2 linked regions of the Oryctolagus cuniculus genome follow. The main gene of each other region encodes a partner of the protein of the gene in region 2 in a complex. Links are inferred from orthologs where the notes say so. Each region holds a gene or a part of one and is shown on either strand. Other genes may lie near its edges.

Region 1 (4,933 bases), on a different chromosome or scaffold from region 2:
GAATCTGCCGTGCAGGGGCCGGCGCACTGCTGTAGCGGGGAAGCATCCGACAGGCCGCCGGTTCGAGTCCCGGCTGCTCCTCTTCCGCTCCGGCTCCCTGCCGCGGCCTGGGAGAGCACAGAAGACGGCCCAGGTGCTTGGGCCCTGCACCCGCGTGGGACACCCACGTGGGCCCCGGCTCCGGGCAGCCACGCGCAGGGAGCCCTGCGGGGAGGATCCGGATCTCCGCCGCCATCACTCTGCCTTTCAAACCTTTTTTTTTTTTCATTAAAAAAGGATCTTACTTGACTGTAACTCTGCCAAAATAAATACGTATATAGTAACATTTCAATGGCAATCACTAAAATTAAAAGAGAAATAAGTGTATAAATTTGAAATCAGAATAAGAATGGATTGAGAAAAAAATATTTAATCCAGAAAAAAGAGATAAAAAGCACTTTAGAATCGGAACAGAGGAGTCATAATAAAGGAAGGCAAGGAAAATTCACTGAAGACAGGGCGAAATTGATAGTCTATTTTTCAAATTATTCTTTGCATGTTTATTTTTTTGACAGGCAGAGTTAGAGAGACAGAGAGAAAGGTCTTCCTTTGCTGTTGGTTCACCCTCCAATGCCCGCCGCGGCCGGCGCACCGCGCTGATCCGATGGCAGGAGCCAGGTGCTTCTCCTGGTCTCCCATGGGGTGCAGGGCCCAAGCACTTGGGCCATCCTCCACTGCACTCCCTGGCCACAGCAGAGAGCTGGCCTGGAAGAGGGGCAACCGGGACAGAATCCGGCGCCCCGACCGGGACTAGAACCCGGTGTGCCGGCGCCGCAGGCGGAGGATTAGCCTAGTGAGCCGCGGCCGGCCAGCATGTTTCTTCCTCGGAAGTCTGGGACCTGATGGAACTCCCGGCCCCGGCTGCTCCTGTCCAGTGCTGGCCGCGGCAGGCACTGGGGGAGTGGCTCAGTGCATGGACGATGCCCCCCCACCGCCTTTCAAATATAAATAAATCTGAAAAAAAAGAAAAAACCCACATGGGAATGAACCTAATAGGTCAGTACAGGATTGCTCAAATGTCGCGGCCATAAATAACTGTAAGAAGACGTTTAAAAGTGGGATTTTATAAGTCTTGGTGGAGAAAGGGAACGTGAGGACGCTAGTGCGCGATGGCCTGTGAAGGCACGCCCGCTACCGCTCTCAGGGAGAGCAGCGGGAGAGGTGTCTTCACCAGCCCGCTGGGTGTAAACTCATCAAAAACAGTGTGTTTCAAATTCTGCACAAGAAAGGATCTATTTTTCCCTCTTTCTACTAACAACAACAACCCTCCCACGTGGCAGTTACTAGGCAACGCTCGGTGGGCCCAGCCTCCCTCGGAGGTGGGAGGGTGTTTTCCTCAATTTCGCCCTAAGAGGCTGCTCGGACTCCACACGCGTCCATCTTTGAGCAGGACACAGCTGTACAGCTTCGGCAGGCGTGGTTGCTAGGCGACCGCGCGGCGCTGTCGCCATCTTTGAGTGGGGCACGGTGTTGCCTATTATGAAAATCTGGACGGAACGTGGTTGCTAGGCAACGGCTTGGGGACGTCGCCATCTTTGATGGGGCATAGCTTTTTTTTTTTTTTCCAAGTTAGAGAACTTAATTCATAATAGCCTGCAGGATGGTTGCTGGGCAATGCCTTGGCACTGCAACCATTTGAAGCCAGCCTCTCTGTTGCCCTCGTTAAATAAATGAAGTCAAACCTCTTCGGGAAGAGACTACAAAGTTTTGCAGAAACAGCCGCCATCTTTATTAGGGGCATTGTGACTTCCGGCTGGGGCGGAAGAGAACCTGACGGGGTTGGCCGAGGGCTCCGGGATGAATAGGGATTGAGGTTCTGAGTTGCGTTGGAGGCGGCCGGAATTTAGTCCTTCTCCCATCGGCTTCCCCTTTCGCCCTCTGGCGTCTCGAGACTGCAGGCCGACTTAGTCTAGTTACCGGCCGGCTCAGAGCAGCTCTGGCCGCCCCACGGAGGGCTGCAGGGCCCGGGCCGGGGTCCGCAGGGGCTGTTCCCCATGGGCGAGGAGGGCACTGGGGGCGCCCTGCATCTGCTGTGCCTCGCGGCCAACAGCGGGGTCCCGCTGTTCTGTCGGAGCAGCCGCGGCGGCGCCCCCGCCCGCCAGCAGGTGGGGCCTCGGGACCTCGCGGGAGCTGGGCTGAGGAGGCTCCGGGGGCGTTTAAGGTCCCGCTCAGCCTGGTTCCCCAAAAAGGATATGAAAGGAGGAGGGGGCGAGGCTGGGACACTGGGGCTTCACAGTGAGGAGACAGGGCGGGGTGTCCCTAACGCCCCCACCCGTCCTCAGCTCCCGTTCTCTGTCATCGGCTCCCTCAATGGAGTGCACATGTTCGGGCAGAACCTGGAGGTGCAGCTGAGCTCTGCAAGGACTGAGGACACGACCGTGGTGTGGAGAAGCTTCCATGACAGGTCTCCAGGCGGGCGCAGGGGACAGGGCCCGGGTGACAGCCCTGGGGGACAGGGCCCGGGTGACGTACCTGGGGGCCCTCCAGGCGGGCGCAGGGGACAGGGCCCGGGTGATGGCCCTGGGGGACAGGGCCCGGGGTACGGCCCTGGGGGCCCTCCAGGCGGGACGCAGCGGGACAGAGCCTGGGGGACGGCCCCTGGGGGCCCTCCAGGCGGGACGCAGCGGGACAGGGCCCGGGTGACCGCCCCTGGGGGCCTTCCACACGGGACTTGCAGCCAGGGTCTGGGTGACGGCCCCTGGGGGCCCTCCAGGTGGGGCCTTGCTGCTGAGACGGGGCCTGGGTGATGGCCCTGGGGGCCCTCCAGGCGGGACACAGCGGGACAGGGCCCGGGTGACGGCCCCTGGGGGACAGGGCCCGGGTGACCGCCCCTGGGGGCCTTCCACGCGGGACTTGCAGCCAGGGCCCGGGTGACCGCCCCTGGGGGCCTTCCACGCGGGACTTGCAGCCAGGGCCTGGGGGCGCCCCTGGGGGCCTGCGGCTCTTGCAGGCGAGCTGTTTGGCTGTGGGGACGCGCAAGCCCGTTGCCCCGCCCCGCCCGAGGGCAGGCCGGGCTGAGGGCGGAGGCAGCCGCCGCCCCGGGACGCGCGTCCATCTTCTCCCGCGCCCTCCGCAGCATCACTCTCATCGCGCTGTGCTCTGAGGACGGCGCCTCGGAGCTGCGGCTGGAGCGACTGCTCCACGTGGTGTTCGGGGCCATGGTGAGTCTCGCCAAGCCCCGCCCCCTCGTGCGTGGCTCCTCCCCCAGCCCTCCTCGGACACGCGTGGCTCCTCCAGGTGCTCCTGGTGGGGCTGGAAGAACTGACCAGCGTCCGCAACGTGGAGAGGCTCAAGAAGGAGCTGAGGGTGAGGGGCGCGGGGGCGCCTGTTCCTGAGGGGCTGTGGCACATCTCGGGGCCACCTGGGTCTCAGCCACCCCCCCCCCCCCCGCCAGGCCAGCTACTGCCTCATCGACAGCTTCCTGGGGCACTCGGAGCTCATCGGGGACCTGACCCAGTGTGTGGACTGCGTGGTCCCCCCGGAGGGCGCCCTCCTGCAGGTACGGAGGGGCTCGGGCTCGTCCCGGTGGGTCTGGCCCGGCCCCCTTCCCCCTGGGCCCCGTCCCCACCTGCTTCTACCTCTCGCCCTCACCTGGCCCCAGAAAAGCCTGTCTACACCCAGAGCTTGTCCTGCCGGCCGCTCAGCCCCAGGCCACACCGCAGCCCGGCCGCGCGCTCTCCCTCCCACCTGGCGAGGCCACACTGCGGCTCCGGGCAGGTGGGCCGACCCCTCAGCCTCAGTCCACGGCGCGCGCCGCGAGTCCCCGGAGCCCCCTGCCCACGAGTGCCCACGCCCTCCCCCAGGAAGCCCTGTCCGGCTTCGCCGAGGCCGCGGGCACGGCCTTCGCCTGTCTGCTGACGTCCGGCCGGGTGGTGGCGGCGACAGAGGGCTGGTGGCGGCTGGGGACGCCCGAGGCCGTGCTGCTGCCCTGGATGGTGGCGTCCCTGGCGCCGCAGGCCGCGCGAGACTACCCGGTGTACCTGCCCCACGGGAGTCCCACGGTGAGCGGGCGGGTGGGCGCCGGCGGGGCGGGGGGGGGGGCGGGGCGGGGGGCGGCGGCGGGGGCTGCCACGCTGGGCTCTGCTTCAGGTCCCGCACCGGCTCCTGACGCTGACGCTGCTGCCCGGCTTGGAGCTGTGTCTGCTCTGCGGGCCGCGCCCGGCGCTGGGCCAGCTGGACCCACAGGTGACCCCCTGCCCCACCCCGCGCGCGCCGGCCCCGCCCCCAGCTCCCCCTCCCCTCCCGGCCCCGCCCCCGCGCGCCCCTCTGACCGCGCCCCCTGCAGCTCCTGGACCGCTGGTGGCAGCCTCTGCTGGACCCGCTGCGCGCCTGCCTGCCCCTGGGCCGCCGGGCGCTGCCCGCCGGCTTCCCGCTGCACACGGACGTCCTCGGGTAGGGCGCGGCGCGGCGCGGCGGCGGGCGGGGCCCGCATCCCCGTCCCTGGCGTGACGCCCCCTCCCCACAGGCTGCTGCTGCTCCACCTGGACCTGAAGCGCTGCCTCTTCACCGTGGAGCCCTTGGCGGATGAAGGTGGCCAAGGGGAGGGGCGGGGGCGGGAGGAGGGGTAGGGGGCGGGGCGGGGCGGGGCGGGGCGGGGCGGGGCGGGCCCTCCCTCCCTCACCCTGCCGTCCCTCCCCCCAGACCCTCCCCCGGAGCAGCGCCGGCGCCTCCTCCGCAACTTCTACGCCCTGGTCACAGCCACGCACTTCCCGCCAGGTCAGTGCCGGGCAGGGCTGGCCCTGCAGGGGAGCAGGACACAGGGAGGTCCGTGCCGTCTCCCGGCGGCCCTGGGTCGCCCCAGCACAGCCTCCTGCGTGAGGCTCAGCTACCGGCACGGCCTGGGCAGGGGTGGGGTGGGCGTGGAGCGCGGCTTCGGGTTAGGAAGGACAAACTG
Region 2 (4,261 bases):
TAAAAATTTATAACACCAAGATTTTAGGTAACAAGGTATTATTGTAATATTTCTGCTTAAAGAGTTGTCTCAGATAATTATTTTTTAGTATTAATACATTGTCAAAATTGGGAACATCCCTAAAGAAAACCCATTATGATTCATGCAATCTATATAAGATATCTTTCATTTACAATTCAAGAAGAATTATGGAAAAGATAAAATGTTGACTGTCAGGACCCTGAGAAATCACTAGCACCTTAGTGAATTTTTGTTGTAAGATTACTGTGTTGTAACAAAGATTATTAGGGAATAAACAAATGGACATTATCAGATTCTTGCCTTAATAAAGAATATTTTCAAAGGACCATATTGGGGAGATAGCAAAATAAAAAGCTTGTATGATACTAGGCTATTAAAATAAAATGCTTTTGTGATGCTGGGTTATCAGAATATGTGCATTTTAAGTAGATATGTGCATTTCCCCCCAAGTAACTGCAAAAACACATTTCTAAAACATTCAGAATTCTTTTCTGTTGAGATTTATTCTGTCTGAATCTAACAAATTTGACATGGTAATTTGTTTTCCTTTTATTAGTGGAACCCAGTGAGCTTTTATTTGTAGCTGTGTTGTGGTTATCTTTGAGATCTTCATTTCTGCCTTAAACATCAAGCTGGGCTATCTAATGAATCTGTAACTGTGCTGGGAGTTATGTGTATTCCATGTAGGTTCGAACATTTCAGATATACGAAACATGCTGTCAAGAAAACAAGCAATGGCAAGAGAATCTGGCTTGTTTTCACAATAGCTTTGCTGTATTCAATTTTAATCTAAATTGACTGCTGCTTTGAAAGAAAATACCCCTAAAGTTCATCTTACTTTACTGTCTAGATTTGAGATTTAAAACGAAATTACCAACAGCTTTGCCAACTGCATAGCAATTACTCTGATGAGGTATTTAATACTTTCAAACCCAAATATGCCTAAACCTGAAGAGTTTTGCTAAATAAAGAATTGTTTATTCAACCCAGTGCTGGTAGCATAAGAATCTGAAGAGTCTTACTGTGAGCTGCTGTGGTGTTCCCATACATACTCCTACTCTCACCATTATGGTAATTGCTTAACTTTCAGGTATTGCTGGGAAGAGGCACATCTTCATAGGCATGTCTGATAACATTGTGAAGTAGATAAAATGTGCCTTCTTTCCTATTCTCTAGTCCTCTGGTTTATCAAAACTTGCTCTCCAGTCCTTTTCTCTCCCTCTTTGGGGTGTTAACTTTCACCCCTGGACAAAACCAAGAATCTTATTTAGGGTAGTATTTAGAGAGGAAGATCTAGGGACTCCACTGTTCTTTTAAAATTGTGACAGTTGTTCTTCCTACAATTAGACCATTTTTTAATTTGAATTATTTTTAGAAACATTTCTACTATACTGATTGCAATTTCCAGTGTGAAAAAGGTTAGTTATCTCCTTTCAGCTAAAGATAGTAAATGTTGAGCACACTGTGAGTTGCTTTTACTGGAAATACTAGTTCAAACTGTGTTACTTTGATGAGTCACTGTTTTAATTACCCATTTGTGGTGAGAGGTTGGTTCATTATGGATTTCTTCAGTTTTGACAGCTTTTTGTTGCTCAGAGTCATTGTCAGCTTTGCCTCAAGTGAAAGTTTATACATAGGTTTGTTTTTGTACCAGCTGTCATATTTTAATTTCGTCTTTCCTGCAACAAGCTCACATTTCATCCAAGTTTGCAAAACCTGACTGACTGCAAACATGAGTATTCTGTTGTAATTGAAGGAGTTTCACTTGTTTTAACGCTGCTATGTTTGAATTCCACAGCACAGCTTGAGGCAAGCCTTGGAACCTTCTATGCTCCAACAAGACCACTTCTGGATTCAACTGTTTTGGAATATAGAGACCAAATCAGCAAATATGCAAGGAGATTCTTCCATCACTTGCTCAGGTGAATGATACTTTTGGATTGATTAAGGTTGTGTTAAAAGTTACATATTTCAGGGGTCAACTTCTTTAATTAGCATACTCTGTATAACATGACTGTTTACTAATAGTCTAACTCTTGAAGAAAAACAAACTTTTCTTGGTATTCTTTGTTCAGTTTTCCTATTAAGGAAATATTTGATTATTGTTTAGGATTTTACATTATCAGTATTCCTTAATATACCTTCTACTTTAATATGAAAGCAAAATACCAGCTATGTAAAGTCAGTATAAATATATTCCTGGCACTAGAGAAATATTTTCATTTTTAACTAAAAGTATGAATTGCGATAAAGCTCTGGGACAGTAATTGGTTTCCTTTGCTTTCAGAATTACTGTAGAAATTTTGTGCATTGTCCTCTCATATAATGTAGGAAGTTGGAGCTTCACCATATCTAATGTTTTTTATTTCTGAGGATAATTAATGAATTTGTATCGTGTCTGTAGAGCTCCCAAAATGAACATGAATGAAAAAGACATTTTGTAGGTAACGTAGTGTCTTCACTTTGTCTCCAACCTCTCTAATTTCATGAAGTTATTTTTCTATAAGCATCATGTTTTATAACCCTTATATTGGCCCTTGGAAGCTCATATTCTAATGTGCAATTTTTTTTCTTCATTGGCCGTCCTCATATGCAGTTTTCTAGTTAGTTATTGGATGTACTTTGATGATGTGACTATTATTAGATTCTAGCTTTTCATCTGGAATTGAATATTTTCCATTGGGGTTTTCTAGTTTGTCATGTTTCTCTTTTTGAGTGCTTTCTATTTCAGTTACAATGAGTGTTTATTCTTGTTTTAAGGAAAAAAGATTTATTTATTTTGAAAGTCATAGTAACAGAAAGAGGGAGAGACAGAGATGTTTCATCCACTGGTTCACTCCTAAGATGGCTGCTATGGCAGGCACTGGGATGGGTTGAAGCCAGGAGCTTTATCCGGGTCTCCCACGGGGGTGGCAAGGGTCAAACCCTTGGGCTATCTTATGCTTCTTTTCTAAGACATATTAGCACAGATCTGTTTTGGAAGTAGAGCAGCTGGGACTTGAACCAGTGCCCACGTGAGATGCTGTCATTACAGGTGGTGGCTTTACCCACTATACCACAACATCAGCACCTTAATAGTTTTTTTGCTAGTAGGTTATACATAGCATTATGAAAAAGAAAAGTAAATTTACAAGAAATAAAATGAGGAGATGGTGTTGTGGTACATCCCACATGCGCACTGGTTCAAGTTACAGCTGCTCCACTTCTAACCCAGCTCCCTGCTAATTTGTCTAGGAAAGCAGTGGAAGATGCCAAGCACTTAAGCTTCTGCCACCCACATGGGAGATGCAGATGGAGTTCTAGGTTCCTGACTTCAGTCTGGCCCAATCCTGACTCTTGCAGCCCTTTGGGGAGTGAACCAACAGATGAAAGATCTCCCTGTCTCATGCATATGCTCTCACTCTTGCTCTCTCTGTCACACTGCCTTTCAGATAAGTAGAATTTTTTTTAGAAAGAAGAAATTAAACGAGATAGCTTAAGTTAAAATCAATCATTTGTTTAATCTGCTGCCAGAATTTCTCCTGCCTGGGGGTGATAAAAAAAAAGCCAAATGTCCTTTTGTATTTGTGAAGGCTAGAATTGTCTTTAGGCTAGTGATTATTTTAATAATCTGAAAAAGTTATTAGATGATATAATCATCCTAAACAGTAAAGACCATGATAAGAATTATTTAAAAACTCATTTATTTATTTATTTGAAAAGCAAAGCTAGAGAGAGAGAAGAGGAGGAGGGGGAGGGAAAGGGAGAGAGGGAGGGGAAGGGGAAGGGGAAGGGTTCACTCCTCAAATGGCCTCAGCAACCAGGTCAGAGCCATGTTGAAGCTAGGAGCCAGGCTGAAGCCAAGAGCCAGGAGCTCCATCCTGATTTCCCCATGGGTGCAGGGCCCAAGTATTTGGGCCATCTTTAGCTCTCTTCCCAGGCAGGAGGCTGAATTGGAAAAGGAGTAGCCTGTATTGGAACCAGCACTCTGATATGGGATGCTGGTGTCCCAGATGGTGGCTCAGTCAGCTCTACCACAATGCTGGCCCCACATCATAAGCAATTTTAAGTTAAAGATTGTTAAAATGTTTTATTTACAATTTTGGTTTTGTCTTGACAGTAGAGGAATTCCATGGACATCTTTTTATGTTTTAGTCTTTAGCAAATATAAAAAATTACCTGATAGCTTTCCTTCAGATTCAAAGAAATCTGAACTTAAAAATGTACTTCTCATGTCTTTTCCTTGTATCTTTTGTATATG

What was found. The genes of interacting proteins can lie anywhere in the genome.
Region 1: the proteins of WDPCP (region 2) and FUZ are in contact, whole or in part, in a cryo-EM structure (PDB 7Q3D), measured with the Homo sapiens proteins. The link is inferred for Oryctolagus cuniculus from reciprocal best matches to the Homo sapiens genes WDPCP and FUZ. Residues at the interface, in NP_056994.3 of Homo sapiens: Arg55, Ile57, Asn75, Lys78, Leu82, Glu418, Asp419, Arg420, Leu421; in NP_079405.2 of Homo sapiens: His293, Glu372, Glu373, Pro374, Arg379, Gln397, Pro399, Thr400, His401, Gly402, Ser405, Leu406.

Annotation. Positions count from the first base shown.
Region 1 is NC_091449.1:7,739,627-7,744,559, forward strand, and holds the start of FUZ (protein fuzzy homolog), read left to right. Parts: upstream 1-1,775; 5' UTR 1,776-2,033; coding exon 2,034-2,144; intron 2,145-2,321; coding exon 2,322-2,443; intron 2,444-3,115; coding exon 3,116-3,200; intron 3,201-3,276; coding exon 3,277-3,345; intron 3,346-3,433; coding exon 3,434-3,538; intron 3,539-3,842; coding exon 3,843-4,040; intron 4,041-4,128; coding exon 4,129-4,224; intron 4,225-4,324; coding exon 4,325-4,431; intron 4,432-4,504; coding exon 4,505-4,569; intron 4,570-4,680; coding exon 4,681-4,755; intron 4,756-4,933. UniProt on the Homo sapiens protein: Probable planar cell polarity effector involved in cilium biogenesis. May regulate protein and membrane transport to the cilium.
Region 2 is NC_091433.1:139,485,255-139,489,515, forward strand, and holds part of WDPCP (WD repeat-containing and planar cell polarity effector protein fritz homolog), read left to right. Parts: intron 1-1,819; coding exon 1,820-1,943; intron 1,944-4,261. UniProt on the Homo sapiens protein: Probable effector of the planar cell polarity signaling pathway which regulates the septin cytoskeleton in both ciliogenesis and collective cell movements.